2 linked regions of the Neodiprion lecontei genome follow. The protein of the gene in region 2 purifies or fractionates together with the protein of the main gene of each other region. This does not show direct contact. Links are inferred from orthologs where the notes say so. Each region holds a gene or a part of one and is shown on either strand. Other genes may lie near its edges.

Region 1 (8,551 bases), on a different chromosome or scaffold from region 2:
TTTATGAAGAATGAGTTTTATATATTAACCTTCTTGTAATATAGAATATGAATCGAGATGCGAGTTTCTGATGTTTCTCAGATTTTTCGCATAGTTCCGCAAGCAGAAACATATTTGCGACATACCGGTGGTAATAGCCACATTGATATATAATAATTTTTTTCAAAGATCAGTACTGGATAGTTGTTGGTACAAAATCTGCCCACTAAATTTCACTATAAGCGTCGTCAGTGTTCCTTTTACACCTATGCGTGATTGGTTGCAGGGATGCCCAAGATCCACTAATCGATCGGCGATCTTGAAATGTAATTCATAGAAAGTTATACTCCCTTCACTGTCTTCGGTGTTTACAGAACACCAGTGCCAGTTTATTTCAGGCAGGAATTTGTTTACGTGGAGTTGTCTCCTTATAGTTCAGTAAAGACGTGTTTACACAGTGCTAGAAATCGGACCGATTTCTCGGACCGAAAAAAAGTTACCAGAACTCGTATCGCGTATACAGCAAACTTGGACGTAAATCGTGGATCGAAAACGCGGATGAAAAAATGGATCGCGTCCCATTATTCATCCGCATTTTCGATCCACAATTTACGTCCGAGTTTGCTGTATACACGATACGAGTTCAGAGGGATGGGCGATGTTAGTATAAAATAGCGACATCCTATTGTCGATTGTTTTAATTCTACTACCAGTCTACTATCGATGTTCTTTTAAAAACATCGGAACATCGATTGTTATCATCGGTGACGAATAAAAGCGCGAAAAATTCAAAAATTTTAGATACAATTGTAGACAGAATAATGAACGCAGAAATTTCAAGTTTTGAATTATCATTATTATTCAAAATAAAAATAAAATATGAGAACTAAATATAAATTACATTGGATAAAATTAAATTATTGAAACATTCTAATTAACAGTGAGAAATTTAATAGAAAAGTTCTATAGATGAGTTACCGACAGATGTTGGCACAGAAATTCAATTTATTCCTGACATAATGATGTCGATAGTCCAATATTTTCCATCGATTATCGATATATCGACTTTAAAACCCATCAATCAAAAACATTGATACTCGAAACATTGATGTGGGTGCATAATCGTTACCTGATCGACAACGCGAAGCCATTTGAGTTATCAATATCCACGGATTCATTTTCAATAACGCAACTCTCGACTCTCCATTCCCAGTTAATCTAGTTAAAATGGCCCGAGAATTTTGCATCGGTTCTTTTCTTTAACCATTAAGGATTATTTACTAAACGATTTAATACTAACTAATTTTTTTATTTACCTTCCAGCATTTACAAATTGCTAGACTACCTCATAGTACTTTTTTCACTCTGCCTTCCTAACTGGGAGGAAATGGTTAGTCAATATTAAAAGGATATCAAGTACCATTACCTAATCCTTAAAATTCCGGTTGAAAGGTACGATCCAATGTGGCTTACAATTAGTGACCCTTACACTCATTATCTCTCTTCACATTGTTATTTTGCTGCCCAGCCAATCTCATACTGCATCCATTAGTCCTACATCCCTGAGCAAATGATTGGTATAGTCCTGCCTTATCATAGACATAGTACAAACTTTCAACCATCCCTCAAATTACATGCTGCAGGTGTTTGACAATCATAACAGATTATCAGGAAATCACGTATCTTCTAGTATCCCTTTTATCATGCTCATCACACTTTTGCAATAATCACAAGAGTTCATATTTATTGAGTTCGGTAGGTGTTGGAGATTTAAAAATGAGATTGAGTTCAATTTCAGTTGCGAGTACTTATTCATTATTTTAAAATACTTTACTTCATTCGAAGAGTTAAAAATTAGTAGTTTCTGTATCATAACATGACTAATTGTAGCATCGATGTCGGATCTTTATTGGACTTTGTTCAATACTTTACAAATTCATTCTAATTTTATGGATCTGATTCAAATGTAAATATCCAATAGTACAATATAAAAAATCTCTATGGGTCATTGCAGTAGGAAATATTGAAATAATACTTGCATAAAGATTCCTCTTGAAAATTCGCAATAAGAGAACTACGATGTATTATCATTTCTGCTATATAGTTCTCGCACACTGAAATCTGAAAAGACAACATTGTACCCAATTGTATATTAGGAACTATTCATCAGTGATTCATTTATGGACACTGATTCTAAACCCCCTAATGACTCAGTCGTTTATAATCAATTTTTTCAAGCTGAACTAAAGGTCTTAACTGTTCGGCGAATATTCTCATGTCTTCAGCTATTGCATCTTGTCCACGTGGAGCAAGCACGCTCAATTCGACCAAGTAGCTTTGAGATATGGGTTCTACATTATCCGGTATTTTCACTTGAACCATTTTAAATATTTTTGCTACAGTTACTTTCATTCTACCCTTTCGGAACATGTATCCCTGTACAATATACTCAAAATCTATTCTACATCCCAATTCTGTGAGGAATTCAACAACTGTACTGCTTGTTGCAATGTCTATACTGCTTCGCACTATTGTCGGTCTAGACTTGTCACCTAGCTCGGGTTGTCCGATGTAACGTAGCTGCCAAGGCATATCCTGATGATCTAAGGCTCTTCTCACCCTCAGCGACAATGGTTGTTCTGGCGGAGGACCTCTGAAAGGTTAAAATTTATATTTGAAATGCTCTTCTTTTTTAAAACACAAAGTAAATTTTTAAATTTTGCTGGAAGAAAATAATGGCTCATTATATTATTATCGTGAAATATAAATTGTCACAATAGGCAAGTTACAATTTTAAAGCCGCATCTGAAACCTAGAAAATATGCAAACAATGTGAAGTACTAAGCACTCTGGGTGAATAACGACAATGTATACCAGCAAAAAGAGAATGAGATTTACCTCCTGATACTGAAACACATTTCATGATCACGAAAAGTCTCCGGCCTACTATCAACGTTATCGCACAATCCTCTCAATCTTTGCAATAAGACTTCCACCGCACTGTCCATAACCGAACCTTGCAGAAGGTATTCTTGGTTTGGTATTATATTCGACTTTACAGCAGCATTTAAGCTGTCCATCGCTGTACTTATTTGACTTGCCATTTTGGCAGAGTATTTAATTATACTTTCTACTGCGGTATGTTAATGGATTTGTCGCTACAGAATGGGGTAAATTGTCATTGTCCGATCGTCGTATTTGGTCTCTTTGCGAGGTTAAGTCACTGCAGCCTGCATACAGTCAATTTTCCCTGTTCCCAACAAATTGTCAACAATCATTGTCGCCAACCTTGTGATTGAAATTTATTAAACTTTGATGCGCGCGCATCTGACGCACTCAACGTTCACAAATCTGCACAAAATTGCTTTCTCGTTTGCACGCAACAATGTCACGATGTAAGAGGAACAATATAACAACTTTATACGATCGTGTTAGTGAGTTCGCTTATGTTGTTAGGTGTCGAAATGTCAATGTAAGAGTCGCGTGCAAATAGATGTCTGTTTATTGTCACAAAATAAATTCGAACGGTTCGATTGCGGTATGACATCGTCGAAAGAGTTGACCGTAGCAAGAAAAAGCCTTGTCGCATCGCTAGGTGATAACGCAAAACTGTAAGTTTGTTTTTATGTCACTCAACATTATGTGTGCAATGTGTGTATACAATTTGAGCTCAATTACCTTTTGTAAATATTGCGACAACCTGATCTTGGTATGATACTGTAATAACTGATTATACTAATACAGCGGTTAAAAACCTTTCTGATCTGTCACTTTGAATTCACCCTTTACTGATTTCCTTGGAATCGCAATGGACTTTGGGTGTACACATACTTAATTATCATATTGTGGTTACAGGTACTTTGAAAAAATGAAGCTGTGGTTTCAGATGAAGGTACACCAATATCTTACCTGAGTCTTGATATCCAAGAATCGTTTTGCTACTTTTTTTTTTTTAATCATACACTTATTTGATTTTCTCAGACAACTAAAGAAGAATTTGACTGCGAGGCGCGCAACATTATGACTGAGGATCAAGTCCATTTGCACAATGAATTTCTACTCTGCTTGTTCAACAAAGTACAGGGGTTAGCGTCTGTGACAACAGTCCGAACTAACAAACACAATCATACAAATGCTCATCTTGATAAAGAAAAAATGCTAGAGAAAAGGCTGCGATTGAAACGAAAATATAAAACAGACAAATCAAATTTTGAAGTAAGAAGCTGTTTTGGAATAATATTAAAAAATCCGTGATTAACCATATAGTGCCAGTACTCGGATTCAGTTGAAGAATATTATTTTTTAAAACTGCTATACATATTTCAGTTAAAATTTTGTAAAAATTTAGTTTTAAACATTTTTGCCATTAATTACCTGTCGATGAACTTATGATTTCAAGACCTTAGGATACCAGAGAGCCTGTAACTCTCTTCCAAAATGTTTGATTAAAATTCATGAACTCATAAATAAAAATTGCCATTTTGCCAAATTAGTGAATGTGCGATAGCAGGCACTATAGTGTTAAATGGGTATCTGTTAGGAATTTGATATTTTATTGCTAACATATAGAAGTATTCATTCATTATTGGTCTCTGGAAATATGTATAAAGTGGCCATAAGGCTGTGTCAAATATTTGAAAGCAGATATTTTTGTATGAAAAAAAAGCAAATACAACCTGAGAAAATTTATGTTAAGAATATAAAAGCTGCATATTTCAGCCTGCAGATGTCTACGTTGAAGTCTTGGGCCAAAGTTCGTCGCTGGTTGGAGACGAACCTATAGGTGCCAATCATTCCAGCGCGCAAGAGCTTTTGCTGCCAGATCGTACCTTCGTTTTAGCTAGACTAATGCTTGCTGCATGGGAGAATAATATGGATGGAGCTGAAGAAAATACAGCTCAAATAATTATAGCTGCTACTCAGGTACGAATATGCTATAGCTACGAGTATTTTGCTATACTGAAGTAATCAGATTGTGCAATGTTCTGGATTCGGGAAAGTACATTGTTTATTCTATTCTTCAGTCGGTTTTACCCATGATGTGAGTGAAAAATAACAACCCAATTCTCATACTTACAGGTATTTCTCAAAAATATACTCACAGCCGTAATAACTCGACGGAAAGGTTTCTCGGTGCGAGAAGGATCATTTATTCATAACATAGGTGAACCAGTACCCAGTTCATGGACCAGAAATACATCCTACATAACCAACACGTCAAATTTTAGGTACAGCATAGATTCATATTTATGAATAAAATCGGAATAGGCTGGAAGTAGGGACTAATGTTACATTTTGCATAAGATCGTTACTTTAGTGCTTATTCCCTTATTTCTGAAATTTTTTTGTACCGATTTGACTTCTTCGAATTTCAATCATAGTTTAAAGCCTCCTATTTATTTTCTAATTTGATAGAGTATGTAAAAGGATAGTGCTAGATTTTCCGTAAATTTCATGTGTGCGTCTATAACGAATAATATATGAATTATCCAGTATGGCTACAAATATAGTGGAGCCTGAAGGACAAGTACCTGCAATGAAGCAAACACTCGAAGAAGCGGAACAAGCAAATGCATTTGCATTGGCATGTTCAACACAAACTACCTCACCGACTCCCGATCCTGTTAATGTGGCTAATCTTCAAAAAGCATTGAAGGTATGAGTTTGATGAATATATTTGTTACGGTGTGTTAATTAAATATGCCTAAATATTCGGATGAGTATAACAACAAACCAATTCTTGGAAAAAATAACAGGATATAAATTTTGAAACTCACAACTGTTTACTGTCTTGAATGAGATCATTAATCTTACGTAAATACGTTGAATTAGTGAAAATATAGGACATTTCTCCAATGTTTTTCACCAAATATTTGCATCACTACACTGTTGCATTATGCATATACTTGACAATATTTGACCATAGATCCACAAGAATCTCATCAACAATCATACAATTTATGCAACTAATATGGAACGTCTACATACATATGCTACGCACCCAACCTGGGAAGATTTGGAGGCAAGGAAAATACTGTGTAAAAATTTAAGAACGTGACAAAAGAAGTAGAATTTAGAGTAGTGCAAAATAATTGTTAAACGTAAGTTGTTCTGTTGTTTTCGTTTGTAAGTTAATGGCAGATTTCGATAGTGGAAGAATTATTGGTAAATCTAGGAGCAAAAATATTGAGGTTTTGATGGTACCAGAATTGTATTAACTCACAAAAATTTGTAATAAGTAATATATTTTCTACCTTTGATATATTAAAATTGATAGCGGTGGGGATTCACATTCTGATTTGAAATCTACCAGCTTTTGTAATATATTTTACACCTTTGAACGGCTTATATTTTTCACCATACATGTCGAGCCTGTTTACTTTCAAGCCAGACACAGCAAGCTGGTTGATTGTGAAATGAACCTAAAAGTAAAAGCGTTTAGAACGATTCCTTATTAGACGTCATTACGAGTATACGAAGTTGAGACAATGCTAAAATAAACTTGTTATGATAATGAGACTTACATTGATAGCAGGATTTGATTCTGTGACGGTCGCCCCATTTTGAATAGTGATCTTGAAAATTAAGAAATGACAACAATGAAGTCAGTCAAAATTTTGTTTTTTGTAGTATTATTAGTATTGTTGAATTTTTTCTATTGCAACTTACACTTCCTCGAAGATTGGGCAATTTCGCAACATCTATTCTTCCAATATCCCACACAAGTACTTTACTGACTGGATCAAAAGAGTACTTTCCTTGATTGGGTACCAAACTACAATTTAATACTGATTTTGGCATGGGAATTTCGATATTAACATTTTCTACCTAAAAAAGAGAATTAAGCAATATCAATCACAACCCTTGTCCTTATCTTGATCCGTAAATATCAGATATAATGTATGAAATTAACACAGCATAAAAATAGTTTTACGAACTGCAAGTCACTTACAGTTTTTTTCAAACATATTCAAAGCTTAAAAGATTGCATAAAATTGCTTACAGTTCGTCCAACAGTTTGTTTAGGCCCAACTGTAATATCCAATCTGCCGCCACCAGATTCCTTTAGGCTTATATTATGCCTTACGTATATAGGAATTGCCACAATACTTTGCGACCCGATATGGTAGGACAGAAGTCGGAAGTTACCATCTGGTGGAATGAAGGACAATATTCTCTCGGACTAAAATAGTATAAGTTATTCTGCCTGTGAGTCAATATTGTTTACATTTATGTTATAAATGTAGACACAAACCTCCCATCGCTTGAACCTAACACATGGATGGAAGCTGACATCATCAAATAATCTTGGATTCATGAATGAAAGTGTGAGATCAGGCATGCCACTCAATTTAATACAGCAATCAATCTGAAAATTAATATTGCCTTGTTATCATATGATTCATTAAGAGCTTCCATTTCTGGTTTATGAGAATTTCTTTTACAAAATATAACTTTACGATTCATACATAGCCTTGGATTTCTGCAAAAACTGTTGCCCCAGTTTTGTCAATTATAGCATCAACTTCCTCAACAACATCGAAGTAAGCTTCATTATTTGTGTATTTAACACCCGTTCTTCGCCAGGGTACATTTGACAATTGGCCACTTGGCAAGATTGCACTCACACTGAAAATTGTACAATATGGTAAGCGACTGTCAGTATTACTGTACTCATAGCAGTAGTAGTAATGTTATTTTACTTACTTAGACTTCCCTGTTACGGTATTAGCTATCGTTCTTAAAATATTGGGTGGTTTAATCAGTTCTTTGAGGATATTTGATTCTGTCGCCAATGGAAAACCATTGTCTAACATTTCGTCCAACAATTCATAAACAACAACATAATTCTCTTTTATTATTGTTTCTGTACATTCACTGAAGTAGTCTTCAAACGTGTCTACTACTCTGTGTAAAAACTCGATAACAAACAGTGGCGGAACTGAAACAGTCGATAAGTATGTAATATTTACCAGCAGCGTGAGAATTATAACTGTAATTAACCAATGTAACAAAAATGATGAGATCACATTAAAATTAGCAAAGATATAATACTATGAAGCATTTAGCAACAGCGTACCTTCCGTCATACACACAGCGACAAAAAACATATTGCAGCGATATATGCTGATCAAATAATGATGCGGTGTTGCAATAACTGGTGGCGTGTCTTCAGGTGAAGAAACTCTACGTTGTTGGTCAAAAAAATAATCACACAGGGATCGCGCGACCGCACTTTTCCAATGTTTTTCCATAAATACATCTCTGAAAGGTGACAAATTTTTAGGCTATGTCACGGTTATTTCTCAGGTTTATGAACTAACTTGTTATATAGAAACAAACTTACCCTGATGAATTTATTATAAATAAACTGTGAATCATTTTCTCCTTGATGGCTGAGAAGAATAACTCAACTCGGAGTTATTCTGAGGAAACTTTAATATGTTGACAGGTAAGTGACACTTGGATGGTTTGAGACACGGTGAGTTTATCTCGTATTCTTAAGCCTCGTTCACACCCCCATTTTGCAGTACAGATATCTGCAGCAAATGAATATCTGGCGTGTCTCGTA
Region 2 (11,273 bases):
CAACTTTATTACGTAGTAGATATTGCGAAAATAAGCAAAACCTACTACATAGTAAACTTGAGTTTCGTACAATTCGGATTACTATCAAATTATAACAGGTTGTTTATTTTGGACAAAATTAGAAATATTTCTAATTCTAAAATCACCTGCAATGTATGTGTACTTTAATTCATTTTTTATCCAAGCTCATATTTCGAATAACTAGTATGCAAAAAAACTGCACAATTAAGTTTAAATACAGACGTTATTTAGTAATATTGAACCCATAATAACAATAAATTAAAAAATGTTCAAATTTAAAATTTACAATTAGCGACCAGAAATTTATTCAAATTATAATTTAATATACACAGTTGGACGTAAATCATCATCATCGTCAATCGTCGCATCGAAATACAGTCACTTCATCAAAGCTATTTTATTTGTACAAAATTCATTTGTTCTTAATTAATCACTATACGTGTATGCACAGTAGTTCCACATTGCATGAATTGAAGTTAGTCAGTTAGTTAGTTTATCAGGCATATTCCAAAGACCGCGTACTACGAATTCTATACAAGTTACTTTAACTATTCAGTAGTGATCACAATAACTCGAAAAAGTCAGCATTTAAATTTATTTTTAATTAAAGAGATCCATAGAGTAACATGATTTCATGGAGTTATAATATAGAATAGTGAGCACAGTCAATCGATCATTAATAAATGGAATTCCTTGGTAAACTTCAATAAAATGGATCAGCCACGCATATGTATAATGTTTATGTATGTAAATCGTAAGGGAGAGGGAGGGAGGGGGGGAAGGGGGGAGGGGAGGAGATACAACATTAGTCATCGATATACAAAAATTGCGATATTTTTGGCAATTTAAAAAAAATTGAGCTAATCTTAGAAAACTAATTCTTACGTAACTGGACAACAAAATCCAGCTGTAACATCGTTAGTAGGACTTTAATCGTCTTTATGTTGATAACATAATAGCAAATATACCTACTACAGCTGTGATACTTCGCTTAATATTTCATTTGTGAGTTTCGTTCGAACAATACAAATATTTATTATCCTTAGTTTGTCCATTTATCGATATAAGATCCGTAAAGCACGAGAGTATTAGGGATTACAGAGTCTGCTAATAATACTTCAACAGAAATAAACCGTAAATATACATACACAAATAGCAAAACTTTTCCTGTAATCATTCCACTTCCGTCTGTGAAGCGGATATCAGTCAGTTCTTAACTCGGTGGATCGGAGTCGACGACACATTAACGAATTCTACGGAATCCGCGGATTGACAGTAGTAGATTAAGTAGGCTCGAGTAATCATTTGACAAATGGAAGATGATTGAATAAATATTGAAATATACGTACAGTGAATTGGCGTTCTGCAAATCCTACAATTAATCCACTTAGTTTCCATTAAAACTACAGCGATATACTTTTACGTTAGCTATCGGTAGTCATAAATTATGATTACGATATATTTTAAGAAAGTTTTTGCAGCCAATCACTTTGTCCCTAATAATATGTCATGAAGGTAAAAGTTGTAATTAAGTAGTTGTAAAACTAAACAGTTATTATAAATTATTATGATTATTGTGATTTAAATTATTTATACTCCTAATTTTTTTTACATTAAAACTGATGCAAGTATATTTTGAGAAATAAATACGCAATATATTTTAAAGTAATCGTTCAACCGCTCGCATAATCATAAGAAGGTTCGAAAAAAAAAATGCTGAAATATCAAGTTAGAATATGTAGAATCCAACCTATATACGACGTGTAATAAACCTAATCAACTTAAAATCTATCGCCTGACTTATCGTTGTCAAGATAAATAATTTAATTACATGATTTGGGTTTTATACTTTACTGTTTTTTCCATACTCGAGGATCTGCTTGTGATAAAAAAGGAGGTACCTGCAATATTTTATTTTAATGAATAAAAAAATTAATTATTACACAAACATGCGTTCGAAATTTTATTTTTACTCAAATTCAACAAGGAGTCTTAATCTACTTACCCTTCGCTAGTTAACACGTCCTTCAATTTTGCCCTAGTTATTAGATGATCGTCACATTTGAACCACTGATCTCTCTGCTGTCTAATAAACGCTGTGTAATGACCAGTTTCCAACGATCCCTCGTGGTTGATAACAGCGAAGAGCGAATACCTGTTATCACCGAAGGCAGTGTCTTCGCCATTTTTCGGAAAGCTATCTATCGTGGTGTTGTTATTACCATTTCTTTTATGAGACATAAAAGGAGTCATGTCCAACTGTTCAGGGAAGGCTATAAAGGTCGATATCTTTTTATCCTGAATGCTAGAATGTTCGAATCTCTTCAAGTGAAAGCTGGCAACAATGGGTAGCTGTTTCATAGTTAATTGTTTTGTGCTTTCCTGGTAAGTTTGGCAATTACTACATTTTATCTTCGCACTTGATCCCAAGTGTTCGGCACGTGTAAAACGTTCTAGGCAGTCTAATAACGAGGTAGGTGGACCGGAACTGTCAGGCCCCGATGCTCCAGCAGTGGGGCCCAAGTCCAGGGAGATGTCCCAAAAAGGATCAATCGTAGTCGATACTCCACTGAAAAGTTAATTATTATCAGTTCACTTATGCGATCGGCCATTTTTTTCGAGTGCCGGTAAAGCCCTTTACATCAACGTCAGCTTCGCTATTGACCTAGGATAATTGATTCTTGACTAAAGTATATTGGATCGGTTGACGTGGAAAGCTTGTTACCCTAATCGGATTTGTAATATCAACCTAAAACCCTTCCTTACTTGCACGCTTGGCAGACAACATCACTTTGCAATCCTCCGGTAAATATTTGATCTATAATACAATTACAATGATGAGGGTTGTCTTTGACCAAAATAGGGGCAGCCTCGCAGTGCCTGTGGAGTACATCTAGCGTTGCAATAAAGAATTCATGTGCATCTTGCTGTTCATAGCCAGCTAAATGCCTGGCGTGTGTCCAAATTAGATGAAGCAGTTTATGAAGTGTCAAGGGAGCCTTGTTGCCGGAATAAAATTCTTGGAAAAGGTGCGATACTTCACAAACAAGACAACGGCTTGGCTGGGGACAATGATGTCGATCAGCTAGAAAATAGTCCCGAAGAAGAGGCGTATGTATCAACGCCTGCACTATGCAGTTCATGAAACAAGTACTACCGAGGTTTATCAGACCTCTCAGACCTGAAAAATTGTTTCTACATATATTAAACAGTCAGGAGTGTGGGAATCGACTCTCAATATTTCCTTACCTATAGTGGAATTTTCCACGATACGTCGACGTCGTGGATTTTTTCTCAACAAGTCCGCCTCAACTTGCGTCGGTTCCCAGGCTCTATAAAACTCTCCCAAACTAAGTGACCTCGCCGACTGGCTCCACTGTGACTTTGCAACCGCTGTTAATTCCCTGTCGTACACGTAGTCCCCACATTGGAAGCATAATATGTTGCCGTAGCATAGATCAACGGCTGTAATTTCAAATTCAATTTCTTTGTATATCGTCAAGTAAGATTATCAATTTCACTTATATTTAAATATGCTATAAAAGAGTACATCACTGATATTTTCAAATCAAAACCTGTTCAGATGTTGGAATTTTGCAATACAGTAAAAACAAGTAAATTACAATGTTTCAGTAAGACAAATATATATTCAACGTCTGTTTAGTTCTAGAAAAGTTTGTTACTTAATGCTAGACAGTAAATAGTTATAATAGTTTATTCGTCCTCCGGCTATAAATAGGTCCCTACCTATTTTAATACCAGCAACAGCCCTTGAAATTAGAGCAAAGTTAAAATTGTGTGATTTATAAGATAAACAATATGGAGTCAGTATGAAAAAATATCCTAAATTATGCTCAAAATATACCTATTTCTATAAATAAATACTATAGACTGGGTATATATGTCCCTTCTACGTGCTTCGAGTAAAACCTGCCAATATCCTATTAATATTACAGGCATGTGTATCTAATTTTCTGTCATCATCTTGGGTATTTGTTACATAATTATTGTTCTATTCTTATCAAATTTTTTATTTTTCTATTTTATTTTTAAAACTGATTGCGTCGAAATTTGATTTTTATTTTTTATCAATGTGAGAAAGAGGTACTATATCATTTATGGCGGACGAGATGTGGAATAGACTTGATATTTTCTAAATGATTTAGATGAAAACCTGGTTCATGTGACAGACAATATTACCTAGAAAATGTTTTTTGGTCTTGGCATGTTCTTGTATGTGTCCTTTCGAATAACAGCCAAAAAAAATGCAGTGCAAACACGAGTGAAGGCGATCCTTGTAAGTTTTACAGGTGTGACACAAGCAGCTCACTGCCTGTAAAGAAAAGGAGAAAAAGAATAATAATGACAACCAACGGACTATATCGCTGCTTATAATTTGCTGCTTACACTTAATTACTGTCAAAATTATGACTACGTTGCAGATCCTTAAAAATTAAATATTTCTTTAATAGGATACTTGAACTGATTAATAATTGGTATGATCCGCTTCACTTTTAATTTTAGTGCGGGTTCAAAGAATATTATGCAAATAAGAGTTTCTTTTTTTTTTTTATTAGTAAAAGGATAGTGAAATTAAGATACAAGAATAATTATAATAAATGAAAGAAATGCATTTATTTAACCAGAGATAAATGGAACATAGCCTGAGTTCTAACAACAAACAGATGAATCAATTATATTATCTAATAGTACACCGTAAATGATTATCTTATTTTTATTTTAATGACTAAACAACTAAATGTCTCACAATCAGCTCACAAATTTCCTTTCTATTATCTTACACTGACTCATATTGCCCGCATATGATTATATTTTTTCTTTTTGATATGATACATTATCGACAATGCACAGTCATTTGCTCTCCTCAATTAACTGAACATTAATATGAGTAGCTTGCACATGTAATGAAATTATGAACATCATAATCAAAGAAGATTTGTTTTAGATTTGTACTGTTTTTTATGAATAAAATCTTAATTTATAGCTGATCACGTGTGGCATAATTTTGTTAACAATACTGTGCCATGATCATCTTGGAACATATAAATTGATCTCAATTTAAAAATTGAACTCAATCTTTCTGCGGTTTAATTAATTTCTTTAATAAAGATTAATTGATATGCATTTAGTTATACGTTGATTAACATTATTGATTTTCGACCAATAGATGACAAAAAAAATGAAATAAAAAATTCCATCCATGAGATATCATTGTTGCAACATGTATATCGAGTTAAACTTCTGCTTTGTACACAGTCATAAATGTGGTATATGTGACCCATGCATGCACACCATTTTTTGAATACAAGGAACACATATTTCACAAATATGAAGAGCAAGTATAGACGGCGTTATTATAGCGTGTAAACATAATTTCGTGTCGGGCAAAGGAATATAATGTCCACACCTGTTCGACGAGTGGAAAAATTCGACAGAAAACGAGAAGAAGCGAAAGGGGAGGGGGGTGACATACAGGACGAGAAAAAAAGATTCGCCGTCTATTACGACTGACGAGCAAAATGATTGCTAAAACAATATAGTCATAGGTATATCAGATAAAAGGTATGATTATAATAAATTGAAAATGGTAAGCGCTGAAGCGACTGCAGGTCGATCGAGAAATTGAGAATATGCAAATTAACGAAAAAGAGAAAGAAAATAGAATGAAAGATCAAGGAGTGGAAAATTCGGGAAATATCGGGACACGAGTAGGAAATTTGCATTAAATCTTTAAGAGTCCGTGATTTCTGATAGGAATTATGATAATCACTCGTTTCTTTCTGTAATACACAACGATAGGAAGAGAAGCGAGTAACCTCACTTCTAGTATTTCTTATACCTTGACCGCAGTGTTAAAAGAATGACATCGCGAATACTCTGACACTGAGCAAAATCCGTGGATCTGGTATTTACACGTCATAGTACGCGATGAGTGTATAATATATTGTACGTTTTTAGTAATAACGAGTAAAAAGAAAACGAAGGAATCATCGTTATTCTCAGCATGACCAAGTCTCGACGTATATATGTATTTTTCAATTATCATCAGTTTGGATTGAATAAAGAAAATGATTTTTTTATCGGGGGTTTTAGTCGGATGCGAGTAGCGGGAGAGAGACAGGCGCGTGTCGGTAAAGTACGAATTCACACTCGTAGCTATCTACCATGCTGGAAATGTGAATGAACAAGAGTGTGTGGCATAAGTTTGAATGTCGGGTGAAGTTAGGTGACCGAGGAGTAGCTGTGGCTGTGACACCGGACGATCGCAGTCCGCGACAAAACACTATCGCGATCGAGCGTGTTTTGTTTTCTGTCGTATCTGAGAGGTGGAGCAAAACATAGTTGATTCAAATTGCCGTGACAGACTGATAGTACAATATTTACCTTTAGACGTACACACATAAGTATATTCGGGATGGTGGAATATATTATTTGTAAACATAGATAGGGGGAGGGGGGGGGGGGGGGGGGGAAGGGAGGTATTCCACACTATTATCAGTATCTCTAAAGGTTTGGAGATGTGTAAAAAGATGTCGCACCTTCCTTACGCGTGCCTCGGTCGAAGTGCTGGTCACGAAATAGGAGTGTATTACTTTGTACGGCTGTATCCCCTTGGCTGCTTTGAAATTATTCAAGTGTATGCAGCCATGATCGCTCATCTCAATATTGCGGGGGCTTGCTCGTTGTTACGACGGTTTCCCGAGGCGGTAGTAACGTTACCGATGTATCCTCAAAAACCACTAAAATATCAGAAACAAACCGACGAATTCGAGTCTGTAACCACGGGGCGTAGCACGCTCGCCAGTTCGACAGCGTGCGTGGCGTTGACATGGAAAGTCTCGGTGAGCCGTGATGTATCCAGCTCAATTGTCGTTAATAAAACAGTGGAAGCGTTTCGATAACAATATACTATCGTCAGATATCTATGAAATATCTATTTTTCGTCCACGTTTTCGACACCCGAGAGGCAACGGACGCCAGCCGGTTACTGCAGCACCGGTACTCGTCGCCATCGCTCCCTCCATCTCCGTCTCTCTCTTTTACTCATCGTCTCTCTCCGTCGCTATACCGAAGCCATCCTCTTTCTCTTTCTCTCTCTTTCCCCTCCAACCAGCGCCAGCCGACGACAGTAGCGTAACATGCGGGCTCTCCAAAACTACTCGCCATCGTATTACGTGTTCCAATTTCGCTAGCCTTTACTTCTCATTCTCGCGATTTTTCAACTAAAATTCAGAATTTTCTGCAATTCCTCGATCGCATCCGCGATTTCAACAGTTTTACGAAAACTTTTCCACAAATCAAATCCCTAATTATTATATCTTTGACAGAGAACTGGTATATGTATGAACATGAACAATGGGATAGTTGAGAAGGTGCGAGTTACTAAAAACTCGCAATAGAAATTATCAACGACCACACAGCGTGTAGTACAATAATTCACATAACTGCAAATGCAATTCGCTGTTGGTCGGCGACAAAGTGAAGTGCAAATCATGCCTACGCACAGATCGTACGATTGGTCGATAAGCATAAGCTTATAAAGACATGTACACGTGTTAGTTTTTTTCATTCCCAGCCTGCGTCTCTCTGTATCCCACTTTTTATACCCAGCCAACGTTTTTTTTTTCATCTCGTTTTTGAGGGTAAAATTTTTTCTACGGAGCAACCGTATCCGGTCACATCTGCGGGGACGTGAAAAGGGGCTCACGGATACCCCAATCAAATTTCTCGTGGGTTGTCCCTGATCTGTCCTTCCACCTCCCGGGTACCTGCTGTGGTTTTTCGTAACAGCTGCGCACGATATGCATTCACGTCCTTTCAAAGCCGCTTCGCAGGACATTGCGGTAAATGCCCGTCCCTGTGAACTGAGAGAAGAGTCGACTGACCACTACGTTCTGAAATGCCCGAAAAGGAAGAATTGTGGAAAGAAAAATGTCCATCATCGCCAGCCTCTGAGTAAATTCAGGGCCTCCTAATTCGTCGGTCGTGGGATTGTCGTAATTAAGAGATCCTCCGCCACTCTTCAACGGTCTAGACGCTCGGACTGTTCCCTGGCGGTTTTTTCATGAATTTATTGGCGCTCGTCGCGGTTTTTAGGTATATAATCTCGCAGGATAATGAGTTGACTTACCGACGGTAAACTGCTACCAGCAAATGCTATCGGCGCGACCGATAATCTAGAAAATGTTTATAACATACACGATATTTCAGAACGCTGGATTATATAAACTATTGACAGGCGGGATTATCCAAGTTTAGTCGTGACTCACAACTGTTTTGAAACAGGCTAAAGAATACGAATTTTTCTCATCCCAGGAGTTTGTTTTTTAACCAAGCGGTTGACGCTGAAGATGGGAAAAAAAATTTCTCCTACTTCAGAACGCAAGCAAAGTCATGTCGAGTCAAAATCGATCGCATCATAGCCTTGAATGACGCTACAGCCACGAATGCAATTTCACCGCATTATACATTCTGCACACGTATAATAAATCCGCAAGTACATAATATTCCAATTAGGAATAGCCTATTGAGGATTGAGTTGAGTTAGAAAAGCTTTTAACGGCCATAGAAACCACGTTATGAAGCAACTAAACCTTTTGTGTTTAAGAATAATGACTAATTCTACAACAAAGACTCGAGCATAAAGTTCAAATTTAAATGTTTCAGGTAATTGAACTACCTATAGTAAAATCGTATGCTTCTTGACCATCTTATTTTCACTGTCATACGAGAAATTTATTATCATTCGAAAGGATGGGTATCCAACAGTTCCATTTATTTCTAAAATCGTTTGTCAGAAATTTTAATCCGACGGTTGTAAAAGTTGTGTTTTCGAAATTGAAAGAAACAGCTGGGGTGCAAAATATGCGTGTATCTTCTATATTCGATTGTTTATTCGTATTATAGCATACGTATAATTACGTATAGTTTGCGTAATCGTGAACAGCAATTACTATTACATTTATAAGTACGAAGCGTATACGAAATTATAAATTAAATTGTGATCACGATCATAATCGAATTTTTATAGGATTATCTTAACTCTTGTATCTTTGACTTCACGTTTCTTATCATATAATAAATAGACATATATTAATATTTTTATAATCTGTAACTTTTATGCATAAAAATATATTAACTCTGCTTTCCCAATAAATAAATATACTATATATAATATTACGATAAGACTGATGTCAAATTTTTCTGGAATTCAAACAAAATACCCTTGCTTTTATTATTAAGAATAATTTCAATCTCAATGATCAAAGCGTTGATGCTAATTGCAAGTGATAAACATCGTGCGTTGCATACGCCTTTACGTAAACATTTACGGAATGAATATGGCCAATGAAGAAGATCAGTGTCGTATTACACGTAGACACCTTACAGAGCTTCGAGGACTGGAGCGAGTGAAATCACCAAGGACAAACCACGAGAAATAATACATTTTAATTAAAACACGAAACTCCATATATCAAATGATAAATCTCGAACCTGAATACTGAGCAATACTGAAGTTGAAAAAAAATTAATCAAAGTTAATTGTTACCAGCATAATTATAATATCTACATTGAAAGAGTCCAAAAACGACTATCGATTTTCAGATACAACGGATCATCAGCGACTCTGGATAATTATTATTACCCTCTGCATGTGCGCATCACTAAAATTGCATACCTGATTGATTGATTCGGTACTTCCGTTGCTTCCATTATTTCTTGGTAGGTATCAAACGCTCAGATTATCCACGTGTCCGACAATCTTTACTGCAGTATTTCCGATAAATCGCCCGTCCATTTGCTTAAGTAAAACGTTGTCACTTTACGCCTTTATATAGGTATATTTACCCAGGGCTGGAATTTATATATATATTATAATACGCACAAGTGTATACGTATGTACACACACACATTTACGCGGTCATGAGTCAAGTAATACGTGTATCGCATAGCTTATTTGCAGTTGTAAAACTGCGCACGAAGATTTTGCAATTCATTCAAGAGCACTCTCACGCCTGGGAATATGTTACGCCCGTACGAGCAGTGCGAATAATAGAAATTGAAATATAAGAGTAACTATTAAACTATTTCCCAGGGCCCCGCCAGCCTACTAATTATTTATACGCAACTTTTCAAACTCGGTTAAATTATACGGTACAAAAATATACTCTGCAATAATTTCCGGGACAATAAATTGAGGGTAAAAAAAAAGGTGCGCTTCATACAATGTCATCGGGTTTCCGATCTGTCTGCCCTTTTTGCGTGAGGCGTGACCCGAATCGGCAAGTTTGTCCAGGGTGTGGCCATCAAAGTAAATTTAGCTATGTTTTTTTTTTTTCTCTTCTTTTTCTTTTCATATTTCGCACGAGTCTTCTGCACGAAGCGCGAAGACTTAATGAAGTTCGGACCTGCCCGTTGTAAATTAGAGCATAAGGATGAATTGGTGGAGAGGTAAATATGTGACCATTGATGTTACACGATAGTCCAACCTTGACCTACAGATTCAATGATAACATTGATATTGAAGTCACTCGTTGCATGACCGTAAAAACTAATTGAACGATGTTTTTCGCGTGTTAAATATAAACCGCATAATTATATTCTATGTATGTACGAGTATATACACTATAATACATACATGCAACCCCAGATACAACCTTGTAGCTGGCCATGAAAGATCATAATGTTTATCCTTTTTTTCACATTTATATTTATATACGTATTGACGTTGCCTTTTTTCTGCCTCATTAGTCCGACTTGATAAAAGCATTAAGAGTTTTCTAAGTATGAATTCTCGTAACTATAAGCATATATGTTTTTACTCGTCACTCATCACGTATATTTGCGATATTTTGCGCGGGCAAAGGCTGCTGGAGCCTTGGAAGGATACAATTAAGGTGATTAGCGCGTATGTGTTCGGCTCTGTTTTTCCCTTTTTTCTTGTCACGTAGTTATATGGAATAAAAGTCATGTTCCCATCATGATTAAGTACGTGTTTGATATTGTGAATTTTGGCAATGTCATCGTTTTACCGGGCAACCGTCCAAATCGGTTGGAAACTAACAAATTTTTCTTTAAATTTCAAATCATTTCTCTTTCAGAGGATAAACTTTTTCGTTTACAATGCTTGGGCTTTTTTAGTTTCTGCACTTGTAGTTGAATAAAAAATCTGAAAAAATTAAGGCTACTGTTTCAGAGTTGGGACAATTGTAGAAAATTTTTTTAACAAA

What was found. Proteins that work in one complex are often made in the same cells at the same time.
Region 1: the proteins of ubiquitin carboxyl-terminal hydrolase 22 (region 2) and transcriptional adapter 1 purify together in Homo sapiens (affinity purification with mass spectrometry; 4 studies listed by BioGRID and IntAct, with this or other methods). This does not show direct contact. The link is inferred for Neodiprion lecontei from reciprocal best matches to the Homo sapiens genes USP22 and TADA1.

The regions. Positions count from the first base shown.
Region 1 is NC_060262.1:34,394,355-34,402,905, reverse strand, and holds transcriptional adapter 1, read left to right. Parts: upstream 1-3,371; 5' UTR 3,372-3,519; coding exon 3,520-3,590; intron 3,591-3,834; coding exon 3,835-3,871; intron 3,872-3,960; coding exon 3,961-4,194; intron 4,195-4,698; coding exon 4,699-4,902; intron 4,903-5,058; coding exon 5,059-5,207; intron 5,208-5,472; coding exon 5,473-5,635; intron 5,636-5,905; coding exon 5,906-6,037; 3' UTR 6,038-6,149; downstream 6,150-8,551. Other genes in the region: mediator of RNA polymerase II transcription subunit 18, read right to left, coding at 2,182-2,632, 2,878-3,083; AP-3 complex subunit mu-1, read right to left, coding at 6,267-6,401, 6,504-6,554, 6,649-6,807, 6,983-7,162, 7,235-7,348, 7,449-7,608, 7,687-7,921, 8,060-8,244 and 1 more. UniProt on the Homo sapiens protein: Probably involved in transcriptional regulation.
Region 2 is NC_060261.1:8,569,103-8,580,375, reverse strand, and holds ubiquitin carboxyl-terminal hydrolase 22, read right to left. Parts: upstream 7,591-11,273; 5' UTR 6,702-7,590; coding exon 6,582-6,701; intron 4,355-6,581; coding exon 4,222-4,354; intron 3,487-4,221; coding exon 3,271-3,486; intron 3,203-3,270; coding exon 2,788-3,202; intron 2,591-2,787; coding exon 2,027-2,590; intron 1,923-2,026; coding exon 1,865-1,922; 3' UTR 296-1,864; downstream 1-295. UniProt on the Homo sapiens protein: Deubiquitinase that plays a role in several cellular processes including transcriptional regulation, cell cycle progression or innate immunity.